3 linked regions of the Daphnia pulex genome follow. Each later gene encodes a partner of the first gene's protein in a complex. Links are inferred from orthologs where the notes say so. Each region holds a gene or a part of one and is shown in the gene's direction. Other genes may lie near its edges.

The links.
Region 2: small nuclear ribonucleoprotein F (region 1) and pre-mRNA-splicing factor ATP-dependent RNA helicase DHX16-like share a complex: the UniProt entries of both Homo sapiens proteins name them as parts of the minor spliceosome. The link is inferred for Daphnia pulex from reciprocal best matches to the Homo sapiens genes SNRPF and DHX16.
Region 3: small nuclear ribonucleoprotein F (region 1) and U6 snRNA-associated Sm-like protein LSm8 share a complex: the UniProt entries of both Homo sapiens proteins name them as parts of the U4/U6-U5 tri-snRNP complex. The link is inferred for Daphnia pulex from reciprocal best matches to the Homo sapiens genes SNRPF and LSM8.

The regions. Positions count from the first base shown.
Region 1 is NC_060019.1:9,593,601-9,596,486, forward strand, and holds small nuclear ribonucleoprotein F, read left to right. Parts: upstream 1-1,442; 5' UTR 1,443-1,583; coding exon 1,584-1,589; intron 1,590-1,668; coding exon 1,669-1,797; intron 1,798-1,916; coding exon 1,917-2,048; 3' UTR 2,049-2,057; exon of another isoform or gene 2,058-2,099; intron 2,100-2,111; 3' UTR 2,112-2,293; downstream 2,294-2,886. Other genes in the region: phospholipid-transporting ATPase VD-like, read right to left, coding at 87-390. UniProt on the Homo sapiens protein: Plays a role in pre-mRNA splicing as a core component of the spliceosomal U1, U2, U4 and U5 small nuclear ribonucleoproteins (snRNPs), the building blocks of the spliceosome.
Region 2 is NC_060022.1:5,692,058-5,696,247, reverse strand, and holds the start of pre-mRNA-splicing factor ATP-dependent RNA helicase DHX16-like, read left to right. Parts: upstream 1-1,316; 5' UTR 1,317-1,466; coding exon 1,467-1,974; intron 1,975-2,033; coding exon 2,034-2,564; intron 2,565-2,648; coding exon 2,649-2,917; intron 2,918-2,980; coding exon 2,981-3,190; intron 3,191-3,251; coding exon 3,252-3,608; intron 3,609-3,667; coding exon 3,668-4,190. UniProt on the Homo sapiens protein: Required for pre-mRNA splicing as a component of the spliceosome. Contributes to pre-mRNA splicing after spliceosome formation and prior to the first transesterification reaction.
Region 3 is NC_060019.1:331,140-333,682, forward strand, and holds U6 snRNA-associated Sm-like protein LSm8, read left to right. Parts: upstream 1-1,338; 5' UTR 1,339-1,417; coding exon 1,418-1,448; intron 1,449-1,510; coding exon 1,511-1,551; intron 1,552-1,632; coding exon 1,633-1,760; exon of another isoform or gene 1,761-1,826; coding exon 1,827-1,917; 3' UTR 1,918-1,969; downstream 1,970-2,543. Other genes in the region: alpha-ketoglutarate-dependent dioxygenase alkB homolog 7, mitochondrial-like, read right to left, coding at 26-150, 216-383, 460-744; zinc finger protein 277-like, read right to left, coding at 1,981-2,067, 2,135-2,219, 2,282-2,543. UniProt on the Homo sapiens protein: Plays a role in pre-mRNA splicing as component of the U4/U6-U5 tri-snRNP complex that is involved in spliceosome assembly, and as component of the precatalytic spliceosome (spliceosome B complex).

The DNA.
Region 1 (2,886 bases):
GAAATGAACAAAATATTTAATTAAGATAACAGGAATTACAAGTCTTCTTGCTAAAGAAATCAAGAGTGCTGAAACCTTAAAAATACCTGTATAAGGAAGTTTTAAAACTGTTGGATTGGCAGAAGAAGCATCTTGTGAAGATCTTTCCCCTTTATTCAATCCTGAAGCTGCCTCCAATAATCCAATTGCAGGGGATGGCGAAGAGGGCTGTGGATGTAATGTTGGATTCAATAAGGAAACTCCGATGACACCATGACTTGCAGAGCGAACATGTCCCTTAACTCCACCCGGCCAACCCCTGCTTGGCAGGGGGTTGACAGTTTCAAGCTCTATTGGGGGTTGCATCACATCAGGAAAAATGTAGGTGGTACCCGGTGAATCAAAATCCATACCGTCCCTGAAAATGAGAGAGTACCAAATTCAATTACAATTGAATTTCTTTAACCATTCACGAAACTAACTGTCAAGCTTGTGACTACCAACAACCAACTCAAAATCAACACAAACTTCTGAGCAATGGAAAAGGGAGAGTTATTTACTCACCAAACATCTTATTTCAATATTGCTGAAAAAGACAAGTCAGCTTTTGTTTTCAAAAAATGTCCATGGCAGACTAAAATCAACAAATCGTCTTAACAGTGGAACGATTGTTCGTTTATTTGGTCCAATGATGGAACCCAGTGAGGAAATGGAAGAAAAACAATCGGTTGGAAAGTGACGTCAACTTTAAAAAAAGTGCAAAAAGATGAAAGAATGGTAAGATAGAGTTTAGTGTCAGCAACTGAGCAACTTGTTGTGTGTCCACGTATATAACGGCAAATTCCAGCTGTGCACTGCTTTCAGCCTCTGCTGCATACACCGTACAAGCTTTACTGCCAGATTTTACACTCGGTAACCGATAATAAAGGAAATTGCGCGGAATGGACACCGGAGTGAAATAAGAAACCGGTTTGTTGACCGTTTAAAAGCTTCCAAAATGTAAAATTGAACCTAAAAAGTCTTTCTGTATCAAGACAAACTGTGATAAATTCCTATCTTTTTAATTCCGCGAAACGCAAAACCCTCTTTTATTACTTTTTAGAGAGCGCTAATTCTGGTTGTGAAGCTTCTCTGTTCTTGCCAATTTGTTAAAAAGACTTTTCATATCCACGACCACGAGTCACTTATTAAACAAAATCACTTAATAACGATACATAAAAAAAAATTCTCCTTTGGTTGTAAATTTTTCCAGCTATTATGATTGAAAACAGAATAGGTGACGTGAGTTTTTGGTCCGGAACCAGAGATCCGGGATCGTTGCTCTACGATGGATATCTCATTACATTACATCAAAAAATTATTTAAATAATCCTATTTTATAAGGTAATTTTAGTTCACTAGTTATTAGGTTTAAATATGTAAATTTCTTTCCTACAAAATGGAAAAACTTTCTCAAAATTTGATGTACTTAATAAGACGACTTGGCAACCCTTACTTCTGATCTTTACGTTACAGAACGTGTAAACTGAAATAACGCGGCTTGACTCGCTTGTCAAACATTCAATCAAATTTTGTAAAATCGTTGACTAAAACAAATACAAATCATGGCAGTAAGTTCAAAACCTAAATCTTGTTGGGTGGTCCTTTTTAGCCGACCATTTACTAACATGTTATATTTCATATTTTCAGGCACCCATGCCCATCAATCCCAAACCCTTTCTCAATGCCTTAACCGGCAAACCGATTATGGTAAAACTGAAGTGGGGCCATGAATACAAAGGTTATCTCGTTTCAGTTGATGGATACATGAATCTTCAGGTACTGTAATAATTATACCATGTAGTGCATTTTCATCAGTAAAAAAATGAAAACATGCTGTTGCACGAAACAGTGTGCATATATGAACAATGGCAATAATTCTTCTTATATTATCACAGTTGGCAAACACAGAAGAATATATTGATGGAAGCTGTACTGGAAACTTGGGTGAAGTTCTTGTCAGGTGCAACAATGTACTTTACATACGTGGAGTGGAAGAAGATGATGAGGAGGGAGAAATGAGAGATTGATTGCTGTTTGTATTGAATTTTTCATCCTTTAATACATAATGTCATTTCCTATCTATCTCATAGAAGTTATTGTATAGGAAACCTGGAAACCCTAAAAAATATGTTCTGGTGTATACATTACAAGATTCCCACAGACAACGAAGGACAAACAAGTAAAAAAACAGCTTTTCAGTATCCAAATTCCAAACACAGAACCGTTGTCTACCGTATTGGTGATTTAATGTTAAGTATACTGGAATTTCTTACGTTCCGGCGATTTTTTCCATTTAGTCGGAAAATAAAGGCTTTGTCTAAATGGAAAATGGTTAAGCTACCTTATGAATGAAGTTAGTAGGCAGCCCGCAGTCCCGCATGCTCGTAAAACTCAAGTCACATTTCTTTTCCACTTACACCAACTTGTTCGTAAATATATTTTGTAAGGTATAAATCAAAAAGGCAAACAAATCCGGAAACACCTTTTCCGATTGGCTCACGCTGGTACCAGCTGATGTCATAAGAATACCTAATTGCTTATGAATATTAATTGTTCAATACGTTTCAATTGGCCTGCATGTAACACGGCTGTTAACACTATAGGACGGTAAGCATGCGCAAGTTATCACTGTCGTTTGAACGTTAGGGGAGTTATAGGCTGTTGAACTCCGAGATGAATTACTACGGTTTGAAACAAATAATAAACATTGTACAAATGTACGTTCCTAACTAGACAACGAAGATTAAAACGTTACTGTCAGGATCACATTTAAGCAGGCGCAGGTGATGAGGTCAGTCAACTTCTTGGTTTTTCCTCGTGATTGCGATTCAGTTTCAAAGCCACGCCTAATGATTTTATTCATTT
Region 2 (4,190 bases), on another chromosome or scaffold:
GAAAATTTACATGAAATGAAAGTTTAAATTGAAAGTAGGCCTAATGAAATCAAAGTATTCGAAGTGCTTGGTATGCCTTGCCATTCAATCCTTTCAGCCCAATCAATGAGCAATAATTCTGAGGCCGGTCCACCTGAATCAGAATCACAAATAGTTTAAACAATGCATCATTAGAGTAAGATAAAAAGAAATACGATTAGATTCCCTTTAGTTGTTTCAGCCTTTTGTTTCGTTGCAATAATCTGTAGTAGTGCTGCTGGTAAAGGATATCTATGAGTTCTGACTCGAACATTGTCTGAATTCAAAGAATCTCCAATGACTGGTCTTTCACGTTGGAGATTGAACAACAGACATTCCAACTTTAGCTCTGCAGCCTGAGGGAAGGGATCTGGTTACAGAAGTGTTGTCACTTATAAATTTGATCATTAAATTACCAACACAGATGAGAGTGATGACGAGACTAGATGAGGTTCTTCTGTTCAACGTCTTATTCAAGCAGGTTGTAAAGGTGAATTCCATATGGATTTGGTACAGAAGTCTCTAACACAATATTTCTGTTTCCATCAGCCTCTTAAATGAATCTTGTCAGGCTTCAGTTTACTGCAGGAAGGTTGAATTGTTTTGATATCAAAACAATCCCTTCCTTCTGGGTCACTGGGTGCTGCTGTGCTGACGAAATTAACTTTCTCAGTTTTTGCTAGACAAAGAAATAGTTGTAGGAATAGAAATTAAACAAGATTAAGATTAGAAATTTAAATTCTTTCCTCAACAATAGTTAATAACTTAGAAGCTCTGTGAGAATCAAATCGTTGGCTACAAATAAGCTGTCAAATTTTTAACAACAAACCTGTTTCACTCCTTTTGCATCTCTCAACAGATCACTTAATTCTTGTCCGACGACATTTTGTTTGTTTTGCTTTTCAATAACACAATTAAAATCGGTTAATATTCTAATAAGCAAATAGTTATTTGTTTACTAAAAACGTGATATGGAAACGGAAACGAAGCCGTTCAAATAATGGAAAGGTTTCGGCTTCTTATTATAAAAAACAAGTTGATAATAAACTGAAACGAATCTGTGAACGGAAACGGGTCCGCTCACTGATTTGAAAAACGCGTTGATTTGTCAAAAATCGGTTAACTGAAACGAATCCGATTATGAATCAGCTAGAGGCGCTAGAGGGTAGGCATAACGTTATTGCCTTCATGCGACTCTAGCGTAAGAGAACGGAAACCAATCCGTTCTACAACCCTCAAAAAATCCGTTTTTTAACGACACGGAATCGGATCAGTATCAGTTCACTGGTGAAGACTGTGTTGTTTGACCGCTAGGCTTGACTCCACAAGTTAGTCTGCTTCGTTTGCCGTGGAAGATCTTGTAGCTTTTTTGCTTGTCCGGCAAGTTCAGACGGACTCAACGTTATTAATGCCTTGTTTACAAATTCGTTTCTAATAAACATTTAAAAATGAGTTTAGAAACGTGGGTTAGCGATCAGTTAATCGAGATATTGGACTTCAGTGACCGCTATACTTCTCAGTTTTTGACATCCCTGGCTCATAAAAGTTCTTCAGTGAATGAACTTATCGAAAAAGTTCGTTTCACAGACACTATCGATGTGACAAATGCAAAAGTGATGAGTTTTCTATCAGAGTTATGGGGAAAGATTCCGAGAGCTGCCCCTAAAGTAAATGTTGAAAGAATTGCCGCCAAGCAACAAGAACAAGCCATGTTAGCAATGATCGAAAAAAACAAGAGATATAAGCTGATAGAAGACAGCGATGAAGAAGGAATGGCACCACCTCCACCACCAGTAAATAAAAAGATCAAGAAGGAAAAGAAGAAGTCTGATTCAAGCAGTGAAGATGAAGATGAAAAACAACGAGTCAAAGATTTGAAGGAAAGAGATGAGTTCTCTGAACGTCTTAAACTCAAAGATAAAGATAAACAGAGGAATGTGGTTACTGTGGGAAAAGGTATATTTACTATTTAATATTTGTAATAACTATTAAAATAAAATGTTTAAATTATCTAGGTTTTGCTGAAGCTGCAAAGAGGCTTCAAATGGAGGCTGAAGACAAAGCCAGCGTTATTCCCAAACTCAGAGTGGAATCACGTCGAAAATATTTGGAGAAGCGAAAAGGAGACAAGATTAATGAATTGGAAGCAGATATTTTCGACGATGAGTACTTGTTCGATGAGCAACAACTCACGGAGCGTGAACGAAAGGATCGCGAATACAAGAAAAAAATTCTCAGTCTTGCGAAAGAACATGACAAAGCACGAGAATTGGAATTGGTTCAACGATACCATATGCCCGATGATAAGCGGGACAAAGCAATGCCTGATAGGTACGTCGAGATAGATGACCGTGAAAAGCAACCTCATTCCGAACAAAAAGTTTGGGAAGATGCTCGCATGGCCACTGCTCAGTGGAATTTCGGTGCCAGAGATGCAAAACAGCGTCTTCAGGAGAAGGGAAAAGTTCATGATTATGACCTCTTATTGGATGACACCATTGACTTTATCCAAACAAACCAACTTGCAGGAACCAAGGGTATCGAAGGTAAAGTAACACACCTAAAACCTTCTGAATAAATGTTTAATAATCTTATCCCTCCACCTTTTTTTTTCGTTTTAACTATATTAGAACAACCTGAGGTAAGCGACATCCAGAAAAAGAAAATGTCTCTTCAGGATACGAGGAAATCGCTTCCAATATTTCCGTTTCGCGAAGACTTACTCCAAGCCGTCGAAGACCATCAGATCCTGATCGTGGAAGGAGAGACTGGATCAGGAAAAACGACGCAAATTCCCCAGTATCTGTACGAAGCGGGATACTGTAAAGATGGCAAGAAAGTCGGTTGTACCCAACCACGTCGAGTTGCAGCCATGAGTGTTGCTGCTCGTGTCGCCCAGGTAGAATTCAATCAAGAATTGTAATCTTGACAAGGATCTTATTTTGTGCGATTCCGTTTACAGGAAATGGGCAAGAAACTCGGTAACGAAGTAGGCTACAGCATTCGATTTGAAGATTGCACGTCAGAGAGGACTGTTATCAAGTACATGACTGACGGTATGTTGCTGCGTGAATTTCTCTCTGAGCCCGATTTGCAGAGCTATAGTGTCATGATTATTGACGAAGCCCACGAGCGAACACTCCATACCGATATTCTTTTTGGGCTGATCAAGGTGAGCCGTCCTTACACAACAACTCTTAAATTGTTGAATAATTTCCTATAAATTCTTTCAGGATATTGCACGGTTTCGACCTGACCTGAAGCTGCTAATTTCCAGTGCTACATTGGACGCTGAAAAGTTTTCCGATTTCTTCGACGAAGCTCCTATATTTAGGATTCCCGGTCGAAGATTCCCAGTCGAAATTTTTTACACCAAAGCTCCTGAGGCTGATTATATCGATGCTTGCGTTGTCACTATTCTACAGATTCACGTCACACAAGACTCGGGTGACATTCTTGTCTTTCTTACTGGTCAAGAAGAAATTGAAACGGCACTGGAGAGTCTGACGGAACGTACTCGAAGATTGGGCACCAGGATCAAAGAGTTGCTTATTCTTCCTATCTACGCAAATTTACCGTCAGACATGCAGGTTCGTTTTTGCTTATTCAAAGTTTATCCTTTTCATATCTTTTCATTTTCTCTTGCCAGGCAAAAATTTTCGAGCCAACGCCTCCCGGAGCACGGAAATGCATTCTGGCTACGAATATCGCAGAAACGTCTTTGACTATTGACAACATTATCTTCGTCATTGACCCAGGCTTTTGCAAGCAAAATTCCTATAATGCCCGAACTGGCATGGAATCCCTTGTTGTCGTTCCTATTTCGAAAGCGTCGGCGAATCAACGAGCTGGACGTGCTGGACGTGTAGCAGCTGGCAAATGTTTCCGCCTATACACAGCATGGGCCTACAAGCACGAGCTTGAAGAGAACACTGTGCCAGAAATTCAGCGAGTTAATTTAGGCAACGTCGTTCTGCTTCTCAAATCACTTGGAATCAACGATTTGATTCACTTCGACTTTTTGGATCCGCCTCCGCACGAGACTTTGGCTTTGGCACTGGAACAACTCTACGCTCTAGGAGCCCTGAACCACATGGGCGAATTGACCAAGCTGGGCAGGCGGATGGCTGAATTCCCCGTTGATCCTATGATGGCGAAAATGCTCCTGGCAT
Region 3 (2,543 bases), about 9.3 Mb from region 1:
GGCTCTATTTTGCATAGATAATTACTTCATTATATACAATGATCTTCTCGGTAATAGTGCCGTGACCAAGACTTGGGGTCGCTGTATATGTATGAGCCTCATCACACTGGCTGTGAGCAGAGATATGCCCGATATGGTGGGGCCACAAAACTATGTTTAGAGAAATATACGAATAGATTAGAATGATAATTTCCAAACGCTGTCATCTATCATACCTTTATGCTGTCCAGATGTGGTTTGATGTGACCATTCTCAGCTAAATCAAGCACATGGACATGCTGCATCGTGGTAGTTGAAAAGGCAAAAGCTCTCAACCGATTTATAACACAGTCATTGACTTGATTCCAAGTAGGTTTCTCTGTTTCCCTGTATCCGTGGATAGCCTTTTGGGTTTCGAATAACAAATGGTGGTCATTCAACAGTCAGACAACCTACGTGAACACGAAATTTCAGACTTACATCATCCCAATGGTCATACTGATACCGGGACCTTTTGAACTTCACCTCCAACTCTTCCAATAGGTTATTCTCTTCTTCAGCACTGATGAAATCTTTGTAGACTTGAAAGTCTTTCTCAAGCATTTGCCTCGTCGCTTCATCGCAGTCGGGAGAGAATTCTAAATTTGGAGAGATCCCGCGGGTCTCTGCGGGAGTTGAGCATGTGCTTCTTGAATGGGAACAAGTAGCACTTAAAGGAATTGCGCGCTTCAAAACTGCACGAATATTGACCAGATAAAGCACCATATCTCGATGCTAAAATATTCAACCATTAAAAGTCGGACATCAAAATATTTCAAATCGGCAATTTTCTGCAAAGAGCAGACGACGTTTGCGTGTGTGTACGTGACATGCCATATTTCGTTTTGATTGCAATCAAATGTAAAAAATGATGTCATTAAAAATGACAGACGGTACTTTATTTAATGGACATGTATATTTAAAATAAATAGATTTAACAAAATTGGGCTGGGGTTAGTCACGCTAATATATTATTTCGTTTAATGTTAATACCTCAAAACCGACCAAATAAAGAATTATACCGCATAATGGAAATGTAGGGCCTATCTGATTTTCAAATTTATTTGATGGCCAAAGAAAACGATTCATCAAAACTCTAGCCTGCTGAGTTCTTCTCCTCACCAACCATTTGATTAACGTCTCGGGAAAATAGCCTCAGGCACCCCTTCTCGATTTCTTTAGTCTTTTTCAAATAACCAATTTCCATACATAAACAAAAATTATATTACTCTATCGAAATCATTAATCACTGAAACATAAGTTTACTACAGTTTGTATGAATTAAATCTGAATAGAATGAATGAAAATACTTTGTTGATATTAAAGTAAAATAAACGGCAACGCTGTATTGCAGACGATTTTTACAAGCCAAATACAAAGTGAAGCGAGTGAAGAAATCATGGCATCAACGTTAGATTCTTACGTTAATCGTGAGTTTTAATTATTATATTGTTTATTATTCACTGAAAAATTGTATCTTTCTTGTTCGCAGGTTCCGTATGTGTTATCACGAGTGATGGGAGGAATTTTATTGTAAGTTGTAACGCCCGATCACAAGGCATCATCCTCACTCAATAAACCGTTTGAAATAATTTCAATGTATTCTTTTTACAGGGTATTCTTAAAGGATTCGATCAGACTATCAACCTTATCATTGACGACAGTCATGAGAGAGTGTTTAGTTCTACCCAGGGAGTTGAACAAGTCCAACTGGGACTGCACATCATCAGAGGAGACAATGTGTATGTTTCATCCACTTATTAGCTGTAAAATAACTCAATCATAACTATTTCTTGTTGTAATTTCAGAGTTTTAATTGGGGAAATTGATAATGAACTTGATTCCAGACTCAATTTATCAGAAATAAGAGCAGAACCACTAGCTCAAATCCACCATTAAAGTTTGCATTATTCCATCATGATCACTTGAAATACAATCTTTTTTACAGCTTTGTAGAATCATTCATTTTTTTACAATTAGCTCTAGTTTAAGCAGTTCTTCTTCAACTACTTTAAGGTTTATGATGGTGTCTTCAGGGATCACTGTTACCTAATTAAATGAAAAATCATGAAAACAAGTTTTTACATTAATAAAAATCAGACTTAATATAATTTACTTGGTCGGTTTCAGTAGAATCATCTGGAATGGTATCTTCTAGCAAACAAAGAAGAGCATCATTTTCATAGGTTGGAAAGTAGTACCTAAAAGTTTATCCAATAAAATAGGATCCACAAATAGAAAATTTTGAATGTATCCGGCTTACTGTGACTGATCCCAAACTGCCCGATCGGGAAGTTTAAAGTGACTGAAGTTTTGCATGTGCTCTCTCAGTTTATCCCGGGATTCAAACTGCTCATCGCAAAGTATGCATTTCTTTTCATGCACTTGTCTCCTGACGTAGTTGACAATCTTAATTTGCTGATAGATACTAAAGCTCTTTTTCAGGCCCAGAAAATCAAAGTTACTGTGAGATGCAATATGTTGGGATAAAACATCTGGTGCACTTGATTGAAAATCACAGAATA